3 linked regions of the Lepisosteus oculatus genome follow. The protein of the gene in region 2 interacts with the protein of the main gene of each other region in a pairwise test. Links are inferred from orthologs where the notes say so. Each region holds a gene or a part of one and is shown on either strand. Other genes may lie near its edges.

The links. The genes of interacting proteins can lie anywhere in the genome.
Region 1: the proteins of nudt3b (region 2) and rplp1 interact in a two-hybrid assay, tested with the Homo sapiens proteins (2 studies listed by BioGRID and IntAct). The link is inferred for Lepisosteus oculatus from reciprocal best matches to the Homo sapiens genes NUDT3 and RPLP1.
Region 3: the proteins of nudt3b (region 2) and ankyrin repeat and SOCS box protein 13 interact in a two-hybrid assay, tested with the Homo sapiens proteins (2 studies listed by BioGRID and IntAct). The link is inferred for Lepisosteus oculatus from reciprocal best matches to the Homo sapiens genes NUDT3 and ASB13.

The regions. Positions count from the first base shown.
Region 1 is NC_090705.1:33,982,760-33,990,084, reverse strand, and holds the start of rplp1 (large ribosomal subunit protein P1), read left to right. Parts: upstream 1-4,319; 5' UTR 4,320-4,471; coding exon 4,472-4,543; intron 4,544-5,265; coding exon 5,266-5,340; intron 5,341-6,517; coding exon 6,518-6,626; intron 6,627-7,263; coding exon 7,264-7,325. Other genes in the region: prostate stem cell antigen-like, read left to right, coding at 330-446, 2,533-2,744. UniProt on the Homo sapiens protein: Plays an important role in the elongation step of protein synthesis.
Region 2 is NC_090700.1:29,595,456-29,603,251, forward strand, and holds the start of nudt3b (diphosphoinositol polyphosphate phosphohydrolase 1), read left to right. Parts: upstream 1-4,778; 5' UTR 4,779-5,000; coding exon 5,001-5,099; intron 5,100-7,480; coding exon 7,481-7,591; intron 7,592-7,796. Other genes in the region: suppressor of cytokine signaling 2, read right to left, coding at 279-558. UniProt on the Homo sapiens protein: Cleaves a beta-phosphate from the diphosphate groups in PP-InsP5 (diphosphoinositol pentakisphosphate) and [PP]2-InsP4 (bisdiphosphoinositol tetrakisphosphate), suggesting that it may play a role in signal transduction.
Region 3 is NC_090702.1:43,654,286-43,661,380, forward strand, and holds the start of ankyrin repeat and SOCS box protein 13, read left to right. Parts: upstream 1-4,089; 5' UTR 4,090-4,197; coding exon 4,198-4,237; intron 4,238-6,367; coding exon 6,368-6,555; intron 6,556-6,980; coding exon 6,981-7,095. UniProt on the Homo sapiens protein: May be a substrate-recognition component of a SCF-like ECS (Elongin-Cullin-SOCS-box protein) E3 ubiquitin-protein ligase complex which mediates the ubiquitination and subsequent proteasomal degradation of target proteins.

The sequences.
Region 1 (7,325 bases), on a different chromosome or scaffold from region 2:
CCCAATCATTTAACACAAATGGGTTATTTTCATAGTCAGTGTCATAGTAACTTCTGATTACATTCATTAAAATTATGAAGAGGCAAAATGCCATGGACCACACACTGTTCAGATTTGTCTCAGATTTGTTAATAACAAATAAGCTAATTTATTTTGTGGTTTTATTTCAGAGACTTTACCACCCCTATTAATTGTACTGTTTAAAAAAAAGAGTGAGAATCTGAATTTTGTCTTTATTTGGTGCACCTACACAATAGTACATAATTATTACAACTGCCTCACTCGTAACTGGCACTAGTCAATGAAAACACCATTTTCCTTTTTCTCAGTTGTTGCATTAGACTGCTATGTGTGTCCATCGACATCTACCAATGAAGATTGCAACAAGAACACACAGAGCTGTCAGGCCCCCCTGGACACATGCATGACAACTGTAGTCACTTCAGGTGAGAAACTGAGACCGATCAGTAGACAGTGCACACGCCTTTCTCCTCCTGCAGGATGGCCAGATGTAATCATGTCAATAATCCCGCTTACCTGCTTATAAACTGGGTAACAAACACCAAGCCTCAGCAACTTGTTAAAATCTGGCTTCTCCTTTGTTTATTAGGTGTTTCTTATAACAAGGATCGAGTGCAGCGATCGCCGATGATAAGCGATATTTAAGATGATCTATGATACATATGATGAACGATACATAATAAACACCTGGCTTATAAGAAACACCTATGTTTTAAGAAGAAACATCTACAGATTTAAAAAATAAAGCTCTGCACGGCAATAGCAAAGTTTATGCATTTACACGGCACTTTAGCTGTAGGGGAGATGGTTTCCTTTAAGAGAAATTTTGATAAAATTCTGTCCCAAAGGGTTACAAAATAATCTGAGGTGTGAGTAATATTCTGTTTACCATTTCTGATGTACAAATTTCATTCCCACCATATTTATTTACGTGATATACATTCTTGATTGAATCTCCTTACAAAAATAATTCCCAATACTGTGCCCTGTGACCAACACACCTCTTGGTTTTTGTTCCAGCCAAGTTGTTACAGTATTGAATTTGTTATTGACTTAATAATGGGATGAACTGTGTGACGGTTTGCAGATTTTAACCCTACTGGAGGCAGCCTTTTAACCATTGCATTTCAAACAAATCCCAAACTCTTGAGGCGAAAAAGTACTTGCAAATATCCCAAGCAAAGCAGCTTATTAATTCAATTAAAGCTTCAGGTAGGTAACTAAGCTCAGCTGGAATGAAACCCTGGAGGTCTGTAGGCCTCTTCAGGCCCAGATTTTGGGACCCCTGACCGAAAGCCTGGTCTCTGGTTAGTGGATTTTCATTTGACGTGCTTGATAATTCAGTTTTGTCTCTTTTCAACTGAGACTTGGACGCGAGAATTCAAATTTCCTAACAGTTAGAACTGTGTTCAATATAGTTTGGTCGGAACATGAAGGACCGACTGGACATTAATGGGTAATAAGAGTGTCTGCACTATTAAATGTTGAATGGTTGCTCATGTAAGTTGCCTGGCACATTACAAAAATGAAAAAGAAAACAAAACAACAGCTGCTTAAGCCAGAGCACTAAGTAGAGTGGCCATTCAGCTTCACGTAAAAGTAATGATGTGAGAGAATTAAGGGTTTATACATTTAGTCTCAATTCGGTTTACTTATTTTCTGAATACAATTGCATTGATAGTTTATGAATCTGTGAGGAATGACCCCTGGACAGAGCCTTGCTACTGGAGTACCTGGTAAAAAGTATCCCACTGATGATAATATGTCATTTTGCATCCCACCATCCCGGTCACAAACTGTTCTGCCCCCTTGCGCTTTGGCAAGCAGTGCCACACTACTGAAGCACGGACCACTAGACTCAAGAACAGCTTCTATCCCACTGTAGTACGCATCCTCAACAGCCGACTGCAATGCCTCAGACTCTACGCCCATCTGCATGTGCACTTTTTGCATTGGTCTGCCATGTTTTTTTTTCACTACTACATATTTATGGTTCCTGTTCTTGTCATTGATTGTGTTTGTGATGTGCTACATTGTGTGGTGCAGTCTGTTGTACTGTATGTCCTGAGAGAGAGGATACGACCCATGAATAAGAATTCCAATGTTCATAGGGCAATAAACTCCTCTACTCTGCTACTCTCTCTCTCTACTCTACTTCTAGTAAATATACAAGTAATAGGTTTATTCCATGCTGAAAAAAAGAAGAAAGACAATAAAATGATTCGGCTGTGGAGCCTTCTTCAGGTGTGAGAAAGACAAGCATTACCTTTGCTGACTGCCTTATCTTTCTCACACCTGAAGAAGGCTCCACAGCCAAAACGTTGTTTTCTTTCTTCTTTTTTTCAGCATGGAATAAACCTATTACTTGTTCCTTTGCAGCCTACGCATGCTGACGCAGCTCCCCACCTGAACTACTTTTAGTGGATATTTCAAGCTACGAAACTTCAGAACTACTTTCTCTCTTTTTTTTTTTTGTTTTGCCACGATTAAACTCTCTCTCTGCGTCTGTAGGCAACATCAAGGCCATTGTAAAAGCGTGCATGAGCAAGACCACCTGCTCTGCGGCCGCGTCCGGTTCCAGTGTGGACTCGTCTGGGAACCGCAACCAGGTGACCTGCTGCCAGACGAACCTGTGCAACGCCAATGGCTCCACCACTGCCAGGCTCAGCTCTCTGCTGCTGGCCCTGCCCCTGAGCTCACTGTTCCTCCTGAGCAAAACCTGACAGCAGAGAGCAGGCACCTGAGCTCAGACTGCCTGCAGTACGATAACCCCCGAGCTACTGTTTTAACTCCATATTTGAAGCCAAAAAAATGCTATTCGGTGTCACGTAAATTAACAAGTCATTAGATGATCTATTAATAGCTGCAATTGTGCAGCAGGATGTTGAAAGACCCTACAGCTCTGTCTCTATTCCATCACTATGTCTGAGTACAACAGAGAAAAGTGCTTGTCTAATTGTAGTTAAAAAGATTTTTCTGAGTGTTTCATAAAATAAACCATGTTAACTATTATTTCCTATTCCTGATCTTATGTTTAGATGAACTGCTTACACAAAGAGAAACATGGAAAGATTAAAACCAGGAGCAGTAGATGACTAACACACTTTGTAAAATTGATATGTATGATAAGTGACAACAAAACATTGAAAATCTGAACTTGACTACAAGACTGAATTATTTTCTTTTTTCCCCCAACTCACCTGTTTATTGGTACATGAAGATTCCCTTGGTCAGGGAGTGTGTTTCGTTCCAGTTAATGACCTGAATCAAGTTACTCAGGGATTAATTGGACTAATTTGCTAACATCTCCCAGCTCTTCAGGTACTGATGCTATGAAGAGAACCAGCAGACACAAAAGTCATTCTTGGACTCGGGATCCCCTCCGCGGATGTTAACATGGCCTTTACTTCAGGGACGTTGTCGCATGAAACACCCAATCGGATAACTTTTATTTTTCTAAATTAAACACCCATCTTTTCTAACACACACACACACTAGAAACGTCGACGGTGGCAACCACTTGAATCCTGAGCTCTCCTTTTACAATACAACTGTAACTGTAATCCTTTAGCATTTTGCTTCCGTCCCAACTTATGAAATGCAAACATTCGCTGGATTCAAACACACCGCGTTACGAAATAAAATTAACGCATATAGCGAAGAAATCATTTCAAATGGATAGGGTTGCCCTCGAACAGTTCGGTTTCTGATTTAAAAGTCCTTGTTTGAATATTAACGTTACATCAGCCAGTGCCCAAATCTAACAGAGGATCACTTGGAGGCACGACCAGGAGGAGTGAAGGTGGGGGACAGGGAGGAGTCTGATCGGCTGAAAATGTGTACATATTGACACATATACACAACTTACTAGCGTTTTAACCCTGGTGCCCTGGTTAGTACGGAGACGTGGCACCCATCCCCAATAAGGATCCCCCAGTTAAACCAAAAAACAAAGTAAACCATGCAGGCCGTAAGAAAATCTGTCTAAAATCAGAAAATATTACACGCATCCGAAGTACCAAAGGATCTAATAATGTAAGCTTCATCAATGTAGATGGACTAAAAAAACCCAGATCCGACACTATTGTAAAAGTGTTGATTTTATACACTACTTTACACGATTTTCCAAAGAAAAAAAATCCATATTTGTGTACGGGTAACTTCTCAACAACCTCAGAAACACCAACTTAAAAACCACCAGCCCGCAGTCCTGCACAAGCGCACACGTGTGGCCCCGCTGTCTTTCTCCGCCCAAGGCTAGCGTGACGTCACATTCACTTCAAATAGCTAATCCCCGCCCTTCTACTTCCTCTTTCCGCTCCCGCTGAGCCAGTACGTGTGGTGCCTAAGGTGCTCGGTCCTTCATCTGAAGCTAAGGCCTCTGAATCCGGCGACTAGCACTCCTTTATTTAGGCATCCAACGCCAAAAACCCTACCACCTTCGAGAATAATGGCTTCCGTGTCCGAACTCGCCTGTATTTACTCGGCTCTCATCCTCCACGATGATGAAGTCACCGTCACAGTAAGTCTCCCCCGGCCGCTGTCAGACGGGTCCAACTCAACATGGCGGAGAGCCGGAAAGTGTTTCATGTGGTCCACTGCCTTCGCACGACAGCTTCGGTGTCGGCTTGTGTTAGCGGTGCATGCTTTAAAGTGCTGACATATGTTCATTTTGGGTCTCGGATTGTACAAGTCCCAATCGCTTTGTGGCTTGTAAAAATGTCACTTGACTGCTTGGCGTCAGTGTTTTTTTACAAGCCGTAGTTAAATCACCCATGTACTATAAAGTGCAGTGATATTACAGTTGGCTCCTCCGTGAGTGGAGAGGATTAAACCTTTAGTTTAAAGATTTAAATGAACATTCATGGTTGTTTTCATTACTTTGCTTGTGGAGCACCTGGCCTGCACCTTGGGCCCTACTGTTATACTGCTGGACACGTGTTTTCTCCCAGGGAGCTGCAAGAGATCCTGTATTATAGGAGTAGTTTTTGTCCAGTATAACTGTTCTAGATGCACGTGTTCCAGCCCGTTATGATTTTCTTAAATTGCGATCACCAGCATTAAACTCTGCCTAGATGATGCCAGTACAGTCGGCGCCAGATGAGAGCAATGTGCTTTTAACGGTGTTGAATGAAACGTGCAGTTTCGCTTCCTGTGATGTTACTGTCCAGTATAAATCCCACCTGCTGCGTGCTTCGGGTGGACGTGCTGATGTGAAGCCTCACTCGGTCCCTGTCTCTGCAGGAGGACAAGCTCAACGCCCTCATCAAGGCGGCCGGAGTGACAGTGGAGCCCTTCTGGCCTGGTCTGTTTGCCAAGGTGAGCTACTGTACTGTCTCACCCTGCTGCTTCTTTAACACCTTTAACATTTTATTGGCTTTTTCCCCTCAGACTGGGGGAAAAGCCCCTTTTTCTTACACACACAGTAGACACACACATGCACTTCTTTTAAAGAATTCTTTTTACCTGTGCTCTTTAAAGTTGGGTTAATTCTTAAACACCAAAGTTATTGAAAGTTAGTCTGTTTCATGCAGATTACTGTTTACAGTTGAATTGACACTAATTACATCATTAATGCATCTTGAGGTTTTTTCAGATGAAGATTACATTAATGAAAAAGATGGATGAAATCTGTACAGTGATCAAAGTGGTGCATTTATGAGGATTTCTAATGTCAATATTAGTGAAGTTTAAGATTAAGACACAGACAGGAGCTGTTGCGTGTCAACAGGAAGAATACATGACAACTAACATTGAACAACTTTTAAATGGCCAATTACTTTCGATAGCTTTTGTATAGGAAGCATATTCAATCTTGGAGTTTAGAGTATGGCAGTTCACGTGGTAGAATCCTTTTTCTCAAGAGCCTTTTACTTCAAACCCAAGCTCATTGAATGGGTATCTGCTTTGATGTCTAATATAAAAAGAATAGATTGTGGCAGAATTAATGGTGCTGTAGGTTTTTTGTTTAAACTATTGGGGAAATGCTTTTCTCATCATGACAAACTGCAAACTGAAGCTCAGGTGACTGAAACCGGGCTCAATAAAGGCAGTGTGAGCAAGGGTCTCTAGTCCTGGGCATGGATCATCTGAAGGTTTTCTGCAATCTGTGAAAAGCACCAACACCTAAAGAGCTTGGGGAAATTGCTAATATAATTCAGTTTAGCCAGAAGATTGAGATCTGGGTGTGATGATTAGTGGTAGAAAGTGAGTTGTCATGAAAACCTGTGGACAACAGCCCTTCAGAGCTGGTATTGGAGATCCCCTGGATACAGTCTAGTGTGAGCAGGTAATGTAATATTTCATTGACCTGCTGGAGGAGGTCATGAGACACGGCTGACGATTTTTTCCGAATGAAATATCACAGTGCCCTGGGGGGGGGTGGGAGGTACGTTCGAACCCGGTTCGCCGTTTCGGTCCCCGCTCTTCCCCGGCCGAGGGGCCAGCCCGCGGGCGACGCCTGCGCTCCTCTCACCTCGCCTCTCCTCCGTTCCAGGCCCTGGCCAACGTGGACATCGGCAGCCTGATCTGCAGCGTCGGTGCCGGCGGAGGGGCCCCCGCTGCTGCCGCCGCCGCCACCGGAGCGCCCGCCGCCGCCGCCCCAGGTAAGGACCCCCGCCGGGAGAAACCGGCTGCCCCTGCCCACCCAGAGAAAAGTTTCGTAGCTCTTTCTTGGGAAGCAGGAGTGTTTATCTTTACGGAAGGTGGCTCGCACTGTTACAGGATGACTCGACGATGGGGGGTCTTGCGGAATACAGTTTACCCCCCGAGTACTTGTGTTGTTTTTTTTTAAAACTACCTGAACGTCAAGAAATGTTACAGATGAGAGGAGATGTTTCGGCCAGCTAGGCTCGGAACTAGTTGTTCCACAGATCTCCTGCAGTCGCTTTGTGAAAGAAGCCAGGTTATCGGCTTCAGTCACACGGCTGAGTAGTTGGCGCCTTCGTCGCACAGCCTTCTGGGTAAATAAGAGCCTGCTTTTGTCATCAAGGTTTTTCGGACTGAAATTTAGGCTTTAGGCAGTTCCATGATGTGATTTATGGGTGTCTTTACCAGGTAACTTACAGATAAATGATATTCTCAATTACATATTCTATAGTAAGCCTTTGAAGAAATGTTAAGCGTACCTGTCATGCTTTCCTGCCATGATGTGTAAATGAAGGGTCCCCTGGAATGGGAGAGTCGGGATTTTGTCATTCCTGCTGCGCTGACTGTAATTAACTGGGACTTTCCTCGTTACAGCTGAAAAGGAGGAGAAGAAAGAAGAGAAGAAGGAAGAGTCTGAGGAGTCTGACGATGACATG
Region 2 (7,796 bases):
AATGTGTTCGGTTTTTAAATGAGTTTTCTGAAGCAACATTGTTTAATATACTATAGGCATTTTATTAAAATAAATCTTAATCTGTATGATCGTTTCATAGGCTATATGTACTTTAAAAAAAAGTATAGTTTGTAGAAGCTAGCTAACAACAGAAGTTATTGCCACCGGTGTACGCATGCTCCAAACAAGACTACCGTTTAACTGCAAACCCAAAACACAGAGGTTAAAGGGCTGTCCGTCCATCTGTTTGTTGAAGATAAAAACAACCAAAAACTAACCAGACTCGTGGAGGTGAGACATGGCGTTCTCCACTCGAGTGAGCTCCTCTGTGGTTTCTCCCCGCTGTTGTTCGGATACCGAGTCCTTTAAACGGACGGGGATGAGCGATTTCTCCGGCAGCAGGCTGGGCACGATCATACGGTTCGCCTTCCCAGAGTCAACGGTGGGCTTAAGCGGGAGCCGAAGAGAGGTGGTGGTGGTGACCGCTCTCTCTCCCGCGGCCCACGGCGTCTCTGTGTCAGCCTCTGGAGTCTGCGAAACGCACTGTGTGTGCCCCATCCAAAATCTAAAAAAACAGGGAATTTACAGTTGAATTGCAAAGCTGAAAGTACATGCAAAACATGAATCAAGGAAGCTTTATTCTACAGTATTAGACTTGCAAATTTAATCAAACATGGACATATGAAAATCAAGATAAAAACTCACTACCTGATTAAAAATTAATGTATATACAGAAAGGACATTTTCGTTTTTTTGATCAGAATTCACACGACAATAACATTACATTTTTAACTGGCATTGCTGACCATATATGTAATGTGAAAACTTCAACTCTCAATTGCCTATTCATATTATGCACACATCTTCAGTTTTAGTTAAAAACATTTTTTTGCGTTTTGTAATATCTGCAATCAGCGTTTTATGAAGAAAAATGCAGGCATTCTAAAACTACGGCGTAAGAAGTTTTCCTACCAATAAACATAGTAGATTTACAACCCGTTAATTTTAAGATTTATTTTTACGATTATTTGCTTAATTTCATATTCAACAAAAGGTCTTAAAAGTAAAAAAAGAGTCATATCATGATCTTTATAACCGTAATTAGGTTGATCATTGACTGCTCAGAACAATAAGCAGTAATTAAACCACGGATATTTTAACCGAGGTCTTATAAGGTAATACCCCTTTCTGAGCTTCTCTGCCATTAGGAACATCATGCGGAAAAAATGACCGCAAACAATAGCGATCTTTTCACTAAGATATCAAGAATCATTTCGTAATATTCATTTTTTGTCTGATCTCCGTGAAAGGAAAGCGATGCAAAAGAATCGTATCGCAAAAGAAACACACAAGTAAATTAACAGCTAATTGATTTTCAAAACATGGTTTTCAAAAAACGAGGTCTTCTCAAATGACCTAATTTTCCATCTGAAAAATAAACACCTGATTAATTAACGATTCTATAGTGCGATTATGGTATACAGTACGTGTAAGCGACAGATTATTAATAATGTAATCGTGGTGTTTTCGTAAAATATTAATTTGAATTGTATTTCCTTTCCGATTGTAGCATTTGAATTTTGTCGTTTTAAAATTCAACGGGCTTATTAGTTAAAATAAAAAATGACCTATATTTTAATGCAGCTGATAAAGTAGTATTTTCCAAAAATAACCGACATTCTAAACAGCAAGCATACTTCTGGATAAGCGCCCCTTTGTTGAGCTCTTTCACAGTGAGCTATGATATTTTATTATATTACAGTAATATGTGATTATCATGCACTTTCACGTGAGGTTTCCTCTGTATCCGTCAGAGATTAATATTAAACACATTTTATATCATTGCTAATTGGTCGGTTAAATATCGACATGTCTACAAATTGTCGAGCGAACTGCAGCTGTGATCTTCGTTTATCGTCTTTAAAGAGCTGAAACGCACAAAAACTGAGGACGACGAACTCACCTCGCTCGGTTCACAGCCAGCAGAAACCAATGGGCTCTGGATCGGAACCCTGCAGTACCGTAGTCTCCAGTGCCTACTCTTCAGCTTGTCCCAGTTACACCTTAAAACGGCTGGGTTAACCCCTTCCACTCGGAGAACGAGTGAAGACCGAAGCGAAAGGCTAAAAGTTAGTGTAGTTCTTAAGGAACTGCGACCGTTTCATTTATTCCCAAATCATAACTGATATCGAGTCTTGACTCGCTGCTTACCCACTATTTAAAACAAAAATCAGTTTCCGACTAGTAGCATAAACAGCGTATCGGCCAGTCTGACAGTGTTACATCGAAATAAGCGCACTTTCTGTGAAAGCAAAGGAAAAGCAGGTTGGCAGCTCTCGTGTGTTGGATTCTGACTTGACACCTCTTCAGAGCATTTCTTTCACCGAGATTTCATTGTATTGCTCCAGTGATACGTCCTATTTGTAACCGTTTCTTTGTCTTTACAATCCCGTATATTCTTTCTGCGCTGAAGGCTGATCCTCGGCGGTGTGGGAATCAGAGATTTTCTGCGCTTCGTATTTTTCCCTATAAACCAGCGCTCCTCTTTCCAGGAACATTCCCAGAAAGGCGAGTCACGTGTGCACAGATGCGTTCTGGCGGAACTCCGCCAATCGGCAGCCGAGACGATGAGGTCATCGAGTGCATTTTTTTATCGCTATACAGTTCGGATGGAAAAAGCCTTGTACCTCTTTTCTGGTTCTTCTTAGAATAAAACTCATCCTGGGCTATACTCCAGCAAAACACGAGGTCATGGCATGTTTCTACAAGATATATTGTTTCCAGTAAGCCTCTCTATATAACCTTGAATCCATCTCACCTTTTGTACGGTTTCCACCAGATGGTTTATTTTCACTACAGACACAAAAAGGATCTATGCATACAAGAAAATCGAAAAATTGTGGCAGATATGCACACAAACTCACATTGTATGATCCGAATACTGTTACGCTACTATATATAGAAACCTAAACGAACAACGTCATCGAGGCTGAATTGATCACTATTCTTAAACCGAGCAATCATTTTCAGCCAAACACAAAGCTGTTAATTTTCAACAGAATTTTCAAAAGAGGCTAAAAAAGAACTGCGTCGCAGAGCAGTTTCCAAAACCCGTTTCAAACTTTTAAGATTTTTAGAGGATTATAGAAAACGTGCCACTATCAACTTTGTTGAACAGTATGATGACAGTTTGATAGATATTGCTTACGTAAGTCACGTTTCAGAACTTTTTTTTACTGTTTTGAAAAACGTTAACCATATAAACGATTGACAATTAATATCTATCATACATGAATTCAAATACAATCTTGAATGTGATATAGCTGTATTTTTTATTGCATACTATTTAGCGGCCTAATAGTGTATATAGGAAGATCTACATTTTGCTTTGTCTGGAACCAGCAGCTTGTAATTGACTAATTACTATAATTAATTAATACTGCATTTTATAACGTTGATGAATGCCCGCATCAGACTGAATCAAAAACAGAAAAATATTTTTCTACGGTAAACGTAACAAAACATTTAGCGCTTCCTCAATACCGAGAACCTCTCAAAAACACTTATAAAATGCTTCTTTTTCAAAACAACGTCCATCATTCTCACAAATGTATGCTGCATAATAAAAATGTTGTGCTAATGATATGCCGAAGAGCGAAAACGTCCAGGTTGAAGATTTACACATAGTACTGGGAAGTAACAGTACCAATAAACAGTCCCCTGCTTACTTGTTTTATCCCTGGTGTCAATCTTCAAACATCAGGTTTGTACCCTCAATTTGCAAAAGTGCAGTTTTCAGAAGTCTAATATTCCCCCCCGAGAACGTGTCGGTTTCGTTTGAAGAGATGGCGAACTGCGCCCCCGTGCGGTTGCATCAATCACACGACGAAGGCCCAACGCCAAATACCTCCCACCAAGAAAAAAACACCCTTGCAAATCTCGATTGTGCGGGCTTCACAAGACCATATATCAAGAGCGCAGTTTTCAGATAACCCCGATCCTTCTCTTCCGAATTGCCCGTTGTCGTTTTTTGTACCCAATACCGCAAAAATCGGAGATTCACAGAAGCCCAAAAGAGAACGCATTTGTCCGAGGAGAAATGGAAATCGAGTATTACTAGAGTAATTGATATCGACTCAAGTACGCCAAAATGTATACAGGTGTATAGCTTCACAGTGAATACAATGGGATTTATTTATTTCAGTAGTAATTTACAAACACAGAACAACATTATTTTATTTCGGATAAGTATAGCTCCAGAACACCGTTTTTTTGTATCGCATAGGTAATGATGTGCAAATAAAAGCTACAGACGTGCTTGGTTCGCAGATGTTGTCTGATTTTTACAGGAAACCTTGGGGTTGCTGCCGAGACGGTGCCCTCATCTTCAAATGGACAATTTTATACAATGTGATAAATCTAGTGACTTCATCCCCCACTGCAAACAAGAGAATAGACTAAACATTAATTATAATACCTACGGGAATTATATTAAATAAACGTGAATTGCCTAGACCAATTTTCCTCGTAAATTATGTGTCGCAGTCATAAATCACATAAAAGCCACATTGCCTCACGACCGCCAGCATCTTGTAAACTCGCAACAAAGAAACTTGCGTAGCCCTTTGCTTTTGTATGGCAAGGTTTACGAACTTTACGCAAGCAGTCATCCACATAGACTCGTCTAGTCCTGTTGCTTAACCGGCGTCATAAACGTAGTGGGCTGCTGCGTTGTTACGTTAGATCAGAGCGGAATTCGCGAAACGGATTAGGGAGAGTTTTCAGCGCTTGTGCGAGTGGTGAAGGGAAGGTTACGCGGTTTGCGCAGTGTTCTAATAATGGCGTCTGTGCCGAAGATGCGATCTGGTCTGAGAAAATGAAGCGGAGGAGAAGTTGTTTTTATTAATCAAAAGCCGGGGTTTCCTTCAGTGGGCTTTACGTCGAACGCAACGACGTTTCCAAGAGGTTCGGGTTTAAGTTTCGGTCTGTGGAGCCCCGAAATGATGAAGCTTAAGTCGAACCAGACCCGGACCTACGATGGGGATGGCTACAAAAAGCGGGCCGCCTGCCTGTGCTTCAGGAGCGAGAGCGAAGAGGAGGTAAGGCCGAGGATGCGGGGGTGTCGGGGGGGTGGGACTGGGCCTTGGGTGGGTGAGTGAGCACAGCGAGCCGAGGGCCCTGGGAATCGGGGAGAGAAAGACGGAGAGAAAGTGATTAGTAGAAAAGAGAGAAGTAAAGGGTGACGGGGGCTAACTAACAGCATGGGGAGGGAGGACAAGATCAAAACGCGGGGTCGAGAAGCCCAGGCAGCGCGTTAGAAAGGCACAGGTTGGGAAGGGGGGCAAGGGTATTCGATAGCCTCTGGTGTTTTGGCCCAGGTACAGGGGGCAGTATGTGCTTCTTGTATTCCAGACTGTCATCGCGCTGCACGGCTCCTTTTTAACTGCAATACCAAAGCCGACACTCAGTGCGCCTGCAAATACTAGTTCTTTGCATGTTGAGCGTCCAGAGCTCTTTGCAGGGCAGCTGTGTACCGCCTGTCTGGAGACGCAAGGCAGTCTGCAGCGACTGGGCGTGAGGCTCGCTTGTGCCCAGTTCTGTTCAGTGAAGGGGGAAAAAAAAGGAAGTGACTTGTTAAAGAAGTGTTTCACCAAACCCGTGAAATATTTCAGCCTCCGCGTATTCCTGGTACTCCGGGCGAGCCGGCACTGCCATTGTTTTCTGAAAACCCGAAAAGACATCAGAAAATAAAAATAGGATTTAGAGAGACGTTGGCAGGAGGGCACTGATGGAGCGCCAACAGACCACATACCAGTGCCTACATTTCAGCAGTGGGTCCATGCATGACGAGCGCTAAGGTGTGCTGGGGAAATGTAGTTCCGTTTCAAACCTCAGCCAAAAAGAATAAGGAATGTGAGTAAATAAGGGCTCTAGCTTTACAGACAAAAGGCTGAACATGAATTTGAGGGGAAAGAAGAGGAATATGTTCATGTTGGGGCTCACATTATTTCTCAAGTATCCATGATCAGACTCTGGGACAAAGGTCAAGGTTTGCCAGCTAAGGTGTAATCTTATCTGGGACAGGTTATGTGTTCTTCCAGTTCGTGTTCTGTAAGGAAATAGCGGGCTTCCGGGCAGTGTTATCTATATTGACTGTAATCGGGGGCATCCAAGGGGTTCTCGCATTTGAAATGTCCCTTTGCTTTGCTATTCATTTAAAAATATACAGTGCAAAATAGATGTTTGCAAAATATCTGCTTGTTTCAGCATTTAACACTTAGTTTGATGAAATGTAGATCTAAACACGATTAAACCGAATCCAGCTTTGTTAGTACTCCCCGCGAAGGAGTACCAACGTTTCATCCAAATCAGGGTCACGGGGGAGCTGGAGTCTATCCTGGCAAGCAGCAGGCACAAGGCAGGGTACACCCTGGGCACAACAGCACATCACAGGACACAACAACAGACACAAACATGCTCACACACACCAGAGCCAGTTTCCCCAGAAGCCAAATTAACTTACCAGCACATCTTCGGACTGTTGGAGGAAACCCATGAGAATTGAACCCAGGGCCCCAGCACTCTGAGGCTGCACCATGCGAGTATTCACTCCCCTAAACTTAATTATCAAGGCCATCTTTGTAAATGACACAAAAATGTCTGAAAACATTAACTTGAACTTGAACTTTATTGCCATATGTAACCGGTACTGGTACAATGGAATTCTTACTCACAGAAAGTCTCTCGATTGTAAAACAAGTGTAAAAAACAAAACAAAGTGCAAACAGTGCATCAAGACAATGTACAAACCAACAATAGACAATGTGCAAGTAAACATGCAGACAGTTTGAATGTAAACAATACAGACGTGTACACAATGACTGGAGACGTACAATAAATAAATTACAATGAGGTAGATGGTGATGGTGTAGGTGTGGTCCGAGGGGGATGGCTAAATGTGTTCGCCAGTCTCACTGCTTGTGGATAGAAGCTATGATTGGTATGTCCTAGGAGTATGTTAGAGCAGGGCTGTTTACCCTGGTGTCCTGGTATCAATCCACTCTGGGCTCGCTCACTCGGGTCTTGCTAAAGTTCCCCTTCTGTTCATGTAAGTCGTGTCTCCCCTCTGCAGCTGATCTGAGGATCTGGGGCTGCACTTCAGTAGTGGATACCACGGGGGGCCCCCCTCTTGTGTGTGAAGTGCTTTGGGGTCTTTTGAGATGAAACGTGCTACACAAATACTAGCAATTTGAAAAAGCAGTTTTTAGATCAGATGCCGACCCTTACTCCAGCTCTGTGGATCAGAGTTCAGCCATGGTAAGTTAAACCCAGCAGTGACGGACATTGCCTTACTCATGACGTGCTTGAAGTAAAACATCTCCGGGTGTGAGGTGACTGAGTATTTAGGCTGTGTGGGAAGGGTGTGGAGTACCTCTTTCTGTCCCATTGAGGGTGGCTAAGGGGAATGTCTGTATTGCAGGTGTTGCTGGTGAGTAGCAGCCGGCATCCGGATAAGTGGATTGTTCCCGGAGGAGGGATGGAGCCAGAAGAAGAGCCCAGCGTAGCCGCTGTGCGGGAAGTGTGTGAGGAGGTATGGACCTGTGATTTCCGTGCGGTTTCATAAAGCACTCATTTGTTTTCACAGCCGTGTGCCATTCTTAAAAAAAACAACAAAACAAAGTATTGCCTACGTGCGACAGGAGGTGCCTTGTTTTCTTAAAAACTGGACTTTGAAAGCATTTGCCTTTTTGTTTGTCTGGCTTTCCTTGTTTTCGTCCACACATGCTAAAATAAAA
Region 3 (7,095 bases), on a different chromosome or scaffold from region 2:
TTTGCTACCTCAGGACCTGGGCAGCTTGTCATCATTGACGGAACCATGAATTTGGCATTGTATCAGCAATTTCTGGAGGAGAATCTCTGCCATTCGTCAGCTGAAGGTGAATGCAAAGTGTCATACAGCAAGACGATCTTAAACACACAAGCAGATCTACAATAGAATGGCTGAAGGAGATTGTGTTTAGCATTTTAGGGAGTGCAAGTCAAGGTCTGGACCTAATAGTTATGTTGAATGGTTATGGCAGGACCTTGAGAGGTATCACTTCCGTGGTAAATAATTGAGTGACTAATTCAATTAATACATTAACCTTTTCACTTTCATTAAAAGCAGTATAGATTTCCCATTATCATCTCTGAGTCACTTTAATCCATCCTTTACTGTTACCATGTCCTTTATTACTACGTTTTATTATTCTTTTGCTGTTGTAACACTGAGAAGAGATGTTATCAATTATTTTATCCTCTGTTGCAATTTCTGGCTTTTCAAATATCTTTTAGTATCTATGATGACTTCATTTCTATAAATGTCCTTTTTTAATGTTTTTGTTGTAGTTTTCCTAGATTGCTAAAACAATTTGCAACTGTGACTCACATCATCAAAACTAAAATGAGCAAAACAGAAACATTTCTTTTTGTAAAACTAAGTAATCTATCATTGCTTTCCCAGAAAATCCAAATGTCAGTCACCTCTTGTGGTAAACAATAAAAATGATGCTCTACGAATGACATAAAAATCAAGTAGAAATATACGGTCAAACAAAACTCATTTTTTCCCAGTTGATAATAATTACTCCCACGTGGGATTACTCCCATATGTATTACACACATGCAAGTAATCTTAAGCTAATTGTTAAAATATCACTCAGTTCATAATTGCACATGAAGAGGGTCACTGTTCAGTTGGAGATGGATGGTCAAAAGAGGAGGAAGAGGGGTACCACAACCCTAGGGGTGAAGAGGTGGAGGAAGACTGCAGAGAGTTGAGGTGCCAAAAAGAAATATTAATGGGCACTGTTGATCCTGGTCGTTCACTGCGTGAACCAGTGGCCAGGCCAGAGGCGTGTTCAGCTGTAGCATCAATTATTGGACTTGAGAATAGGTAAGAGATCGTATACTGTATAAACTTGATGGACAGTAATAAATTAGTAAATAAAATCCATTTTTGGAGTTTTTTCTCTTCTGAAATTTATGGAGTCATTTTTTGTCCAGTAGAAATCTATTTTTTTAATTTATAGAACTGACAGAAAACCCTGTCCTGGTGGTCAAGGCAAGGTTTTCAATGTTGAACAGGAGGCAGCAATTGTTGACCTGGTGCCTGCAAACAATGCCATGTTGGGTTTTTTTCAAAATCAACTTTATTGCACAAGATACATTAATCGTGCAATGAGTACATACTCTCGCAAAGCATAAACTCTCTAGTATGTTATAGTAAAGTTCTTAAAGGTGTTTCTCCTTTTTCAATCTGTGCACGTGGTTGCTGGGGCTTGATTTGCACAAAAAGAGTCCCTCCGAGACCTACCACTTGCTGTTGTCCGTCTCTTTTCCCTGTCCTGGAACTGAAACTGCAGTTGCCCAGTTCTCTGCAGGAGCTCAAATGAACAGGTTTTTCCTCCTTTCTCCCTATACAGGGCCCACAGTCCCTTCCAGCACTCCTTTGGTAACATTGCACTTCATTCTCCCTCTGAGGTTTGCAAGCATCCTCTCCTCCAGCTCCCTCGCTTCCCACTCTGTGCTGGAGAAGTGTTCCTCATGTTCCACAGTCCTTGTTTTATTAGGAACACTAGCAGCCATAGCAGGTATTGTGTCCCTTTTGTCTATTCCAATCGGGCCAGCCCCAGCAGTTTATACTGGCAGCTTAGCTTCGTTCCCGCTCCCAGGAGTATTGTCCATTCTGACCCATGCTGCTTTGGTGAAGAAACAGCTCCAGGACACTTTCTCCGGCATCTCCTCGAAAAATGTGTCCCAGGGGAATGTGGGTTCCTGGTGAGCGAGTGTCTGTAGCGGACCTCTCTGATTGCCAGCCTCTGGTACACGTCCATCCAGTTAAAGTCTTTTAACTTTTTGTTGAGTTCCTTTGGCTGCGTCCTTTCCCAGACTTGTCTGAGTACCTGCAGCCACTCTCTGGCAACCAGTTGGCCTCTCACCTCTTTGTACAGGGCCCTGTGGCTGGTGCAGAGCTCTGGTTGTCTCATGGTCTCTCGCCTCCGGATCCATTTGACAGGGTGGGTGTAGGTCTCCAGTCGCTTTTCCGCTTTTGGTTCTGTGTTTGTCACTGGATCAGGTGCCTCATAGGGAAGGAGAACCACAACCTGATGAAGTACTGGTACCTGTGGCTGAGCGAATCTCGCAACACCTGATAGAGGTTGCAGAAAAAGATGCAGTCGAGTTTTAGGGGGAAATCCAGCACGTCTCTCCCCCCTTCCTCGACCACCTGATGCATCCAGTTTCTTGTGACGTGCTCGTACCTGCCACTCTAGACAAACTTGAAGACCACTCCTTGCATCTTGCAAACAATTCCATATTCCTTTAATAGGCTTCTGGGAAATCTGGCCCTAGGTGTGATTGAGTATGGGTTGGTGTGTCTGCTCTCCGATGGACTGGTGTCCTGGCCAGGGTGTACCCTGCCTTGTGCCTGCTGCTTTCCAGGATAGGCTCCAGCTCCCTCGTGACCTACCTCGTGTAAATATCTTTATCCTTTCCCCTAGTAATAATTCTTTACACTTATATAGCGCTTTTCTGGACAATCCTCTCTAAAGGGCTTTACAGACTCCCCAACACCACTAATGTGCAGCTCCCACCTGGATGATGCGACGGCAGCCATAGTGCACCAGTCTGCTCACCACACATCAGCTGTTAGGGGGGAAGGGAACAGTATGAAGCCAATTCATACATGGGGATTATTAGGAGGCCATGATCAGTAAAGACCGATGGGAAAGTTTGGCCAGGACACCCCTACTCTTTTAAAAAAAACACTCTGGGATTTTTAATGACCACAGAGAGTCAGGACCTCGGTTTTACATTTCATCTGAAGGACAGCAACACGAAGCACGAAGACAGAAAGAAAGAAGATGCCCCCTGCTTTAATAGAGGGGAGGCTCGATTGGGTGAGCCTTGAGGGGAAAGGTTAGGGGTCACTGGATCAGTCCACTCCAGGGGGGTGGGGAGGTGAGCAGATTTCTACAGTATGTCATTGTTTTCCATCAGTCGTATAACAATAGGATTAAATAATGCATGAAGTGGAGTTTTATCAATGCCTTTTACTGCTTTAACATGCTGATCAGCGGGATCCGCCTGATTGATCTCTCTGTTGCCTATTCTTTTTTGAGAGACAGTGTGATTGAAGTAAAAACACCCACATCATTCTTATACATCAAGGTCTTTATATAAACATTTAATAGCGTTCAGGACTTACTGGGTTGTTTGTTTAGGTAAGGAAATGTCACAAGTGATGTTCTACAAGATTTAACATGAACATGCATTCCATAGCAAAAGCAAATGACCGTGTTAAGCACATTTTGAATAAGCAGTTTATATAATTGGTGTATATATATATTATGGCGACAGTCTGTATAAAACATTACCAGTAACAATCCGGGGGCCGTTTGTTCATGTCATTATAAACACGAGTAGTGAAATTTGAATGTATATGGAAAACAACAACCAAGCACTTTGCAATACGTTAGACATACCCTCGTCTAGAACCTTAAAATTAATGTGACACAAATTTATTTTTACGCTCGACGGAGAGCTTTAAAGTGATTACTTAAAGGTCTACTTCATAGTATTCACTGACCCCTGCCTTTCCCCATTCATATTTTGTTTCCCATATTGCCAGCTGTGCATATTTGCCAGCTCGCAAATCTATATTGTGTTTTATTTTCAAATCGTCAATAGGATAGTATCGGCAAATATTAAAAATATTTTTTGCATGTGCAAAACATTTCAGTTTGGAAACGTCTTGTCTTGCCAAATTAAAAAGGTTCATTTAGCAACAGTAGACGCCTGAAAATGTTCAAACTACTATTCCCATGAAGCCTTTGTGCACATTGTATCCTGTAACCCTTGACTTTGACGATTCAAAATAGTCGGACCACGTGATTCTTTACCATCAGTGTATAAACAGCTTTGTATGTATATTATACTAAAATAGTTTATTGTTTGGTTTTGTGCATAGCGGTAAAAGAACGCGTTAATGGAAACCAGCACGGCAAGAGTGAACATAGGAGACATTGGTGAGTTACACAGATCTGGACTAGAGTTCAGCTGTTCTGCTGTCCAATTTGAAAAACACACACCAGCTACCTGATTCCAATACATGCGTGCCTGTATAGACTCGGAGACCTTGTTTTGGGAACATGGGTTGCTTGTGATAGTCAGGAAGTAGTTCAATCTTATTATCTGCTAAGAACAACTACAACACTCAAGTAAAATATTATCCAGCTGTGTTTTTTTACTGCTTTAGGCAAGGATTAGGAATTCATACAGACGTGTATGTTACAGTAGTATTACAGTATGTGTGAAGACAGTTAATGTTCTATCTCGAAACGGTGTTATTGTATCAAAAGTGACACAGTCAAAGGTGTAATAAAAATAAGGCAGTTTAGCTTAATTGCATCACGATATACGCTTGAGAAAAGGCAGTCCGTGTGACGTTATGCAGAGTGCAATGGCTTGTTTACAAGGACAAGCTGTAAAACCGGTTGCACAAGATCTTAATATCTAGTTACAGGTTGTGAACCATGTCAGTGTGCTACTTCATGATAACAACTTGTAATGCCTGTGGCAATCTCAGGCACATCACTAGGTGCTGATAATGTTCCTAAGAGTAACATGTAATGGTGCCTCAGTTTGCAAGGTTATGATTCTGGTTTGTAAATGTTGTTTAAGTCAGTTAGGAACAACGTCAGAGCAAGATCGTAGTACCACTAATCTTGCCTCCAAAAGAACTGCTAGTAGTGACAAAATTATATCCGGCTTCTTCAGTAGGATACCACTGGCAACAATTTACTAAAGCACAGGTGATCATTGATCAGAAGCTGCTATTGCCATAACAGTTCAGGTGGGTAGCTGCATCAGCATGTGTAGGCTGTAAAGGAACAAGTAATAGGTTCATTCCATGCTGAAAAGAGAGGAAAGAAAACACAAAGTTTCGGCCATGGAGCCTTCTTCGGGTGTGAGAAAGACAGGGCAGTAAGCAAAGATAATGTAGCAGGAGAACAAAAGCTGGGAGAGAGGAGGGGCCGCAGGCAGGATCAGGGGAAAGACAGAGTGGCCAGTCAGGATAGGTGAGGAGAGGTGTGAAATGAAAACAACAATGAATAGAGAGAATTTAGAAGAAAATTAGTCTGTTGTTGGGAGAGGGGAAAAGGTGTGATCCTAACTGCAGGATAATTTTAGTTTCAGTAGTCTTTCTGATGTGGGAGTTAGGAAAACCATCTTTGAGAACACAGATGGAGAGATTAGTGTGATCATGGCTGTCAGAGGTGAAATGAGAAACAATAGCCTCGGAGAAATCTCTAATCTTCACAGCCCTAACATGTTCTCTGAAGCGATCTTGGAGTCTCCTTCCTGTTTCTCCAATGTAGATGCCTGGGCATTTACTGCAAGAGATACAGTAAACAAGGTTGCTGGAGGTACAAGATGTCATCTGAGTGATCCGGAATTGTCCTGAGGGGCCTTGAATAAGTGTGGTGTTAGATATGTAAGGCTGAAATATTGCCATAATAGTGTAACCACACTAGAGAAAGACCTGTAGAATAATGACAAAATTTGAATTTGTATTTTTAATTTGTTAAATTATATTGGGCTGAAATGTCCAATATTAGCTAACTTTAATTTAAGAATGCACTTTTATTTGTTTACTCAAATGTCTGTAAGCTGCTGTGTTAAGCTGGAGTTTTCAGTACTCAGTTCTTTTTTTATTTTACGTGCAAAAGGTTAAATTGAGAGCAACAGTCAACATTATTGACACCTGAAGAAGGCTCCACGGCCGAAACGTTGTGTTCTCTTTCTTCTTTTTTTCAGCATGGAATAAACCTATTACTTGTTCCTTTGCAGTCAACATTATTGTACATTTTTTAAAATTTTACAGACACAATATAATAAATGAGGTTTTTATCAAGAACAAATTTCCTGAATTCTACATTCCAACACTTAAGCCTGAAAATTGACCTTGAGTAGCCTGGTTTTGGGAGAGCCTGTCACATTCTGTATATTTGAGATCAGTAGAAGTAAGAGGTACAGTTTTCAGCCCATCTTGCTCATCTGGGTGTTAGTAACTAATTAATCTGAGCATCTTCTCTATTCTTTTCAAGAATTGCTAGCTTATTTGCTTGCCTTATTGCTTTTGCCTTTGCCCATAGGGTTCTGGGCTGATCGAACCGCAGTGCACGAGGCAGCCAGCCATGGGCAGGTCCTGCAGCTGAAGCAGCTAATCGAGAGCGGAGCCTGTGTGAACGTAGTCACCGTCGACTCCATCACGCCACTTCATGAAGCCTGCCTGCAAGGCCAGACTCACTGTGTCCGGTTACTGCTGGCAGCAGGTGCACAGGTGAGACTTAATCTTGATATTATATTGCCACACGTAGAATAATTAAAGGTTCACTGCATTTTACCTCTTGTCAAATCTGGCATAAGGAGGTCTACAGCATTATTTAGATGGTAAATAAAGGTATATATCTGGATGCAGTGAGAACATGTATTGTATCAGCTTTGTTAAATATTATTTTATTTACGTTTGTTATGAAAAAATGTTTTGAACAGTTGTTAGTGGTCTTCACATCACCATATGCAAAATTTTTGCCAGTTCCGTTTCCGAAGTACTTTTTGTAGTGACACTGTGAAACAAACAAGCAACGGATCAGCAAACATAGTCTAAAAGTGTTGAAGGATGCCAACTGATATTGAAATATCAATTCCGCATGCAGCGATTTCAGGAGAATTGGATTGATTGCGGTGTGATGTTTGTGTTTTTAGGTTGATGCAAGAAACATCGATGGCAGTACTCCTTTGTGTGACGCCTGTGCCGCTGGAAGTATAGAGTGCGTGAAGTTACTTTTAGAACATGGAGCCAAAGTAAATCCTGCTCTGT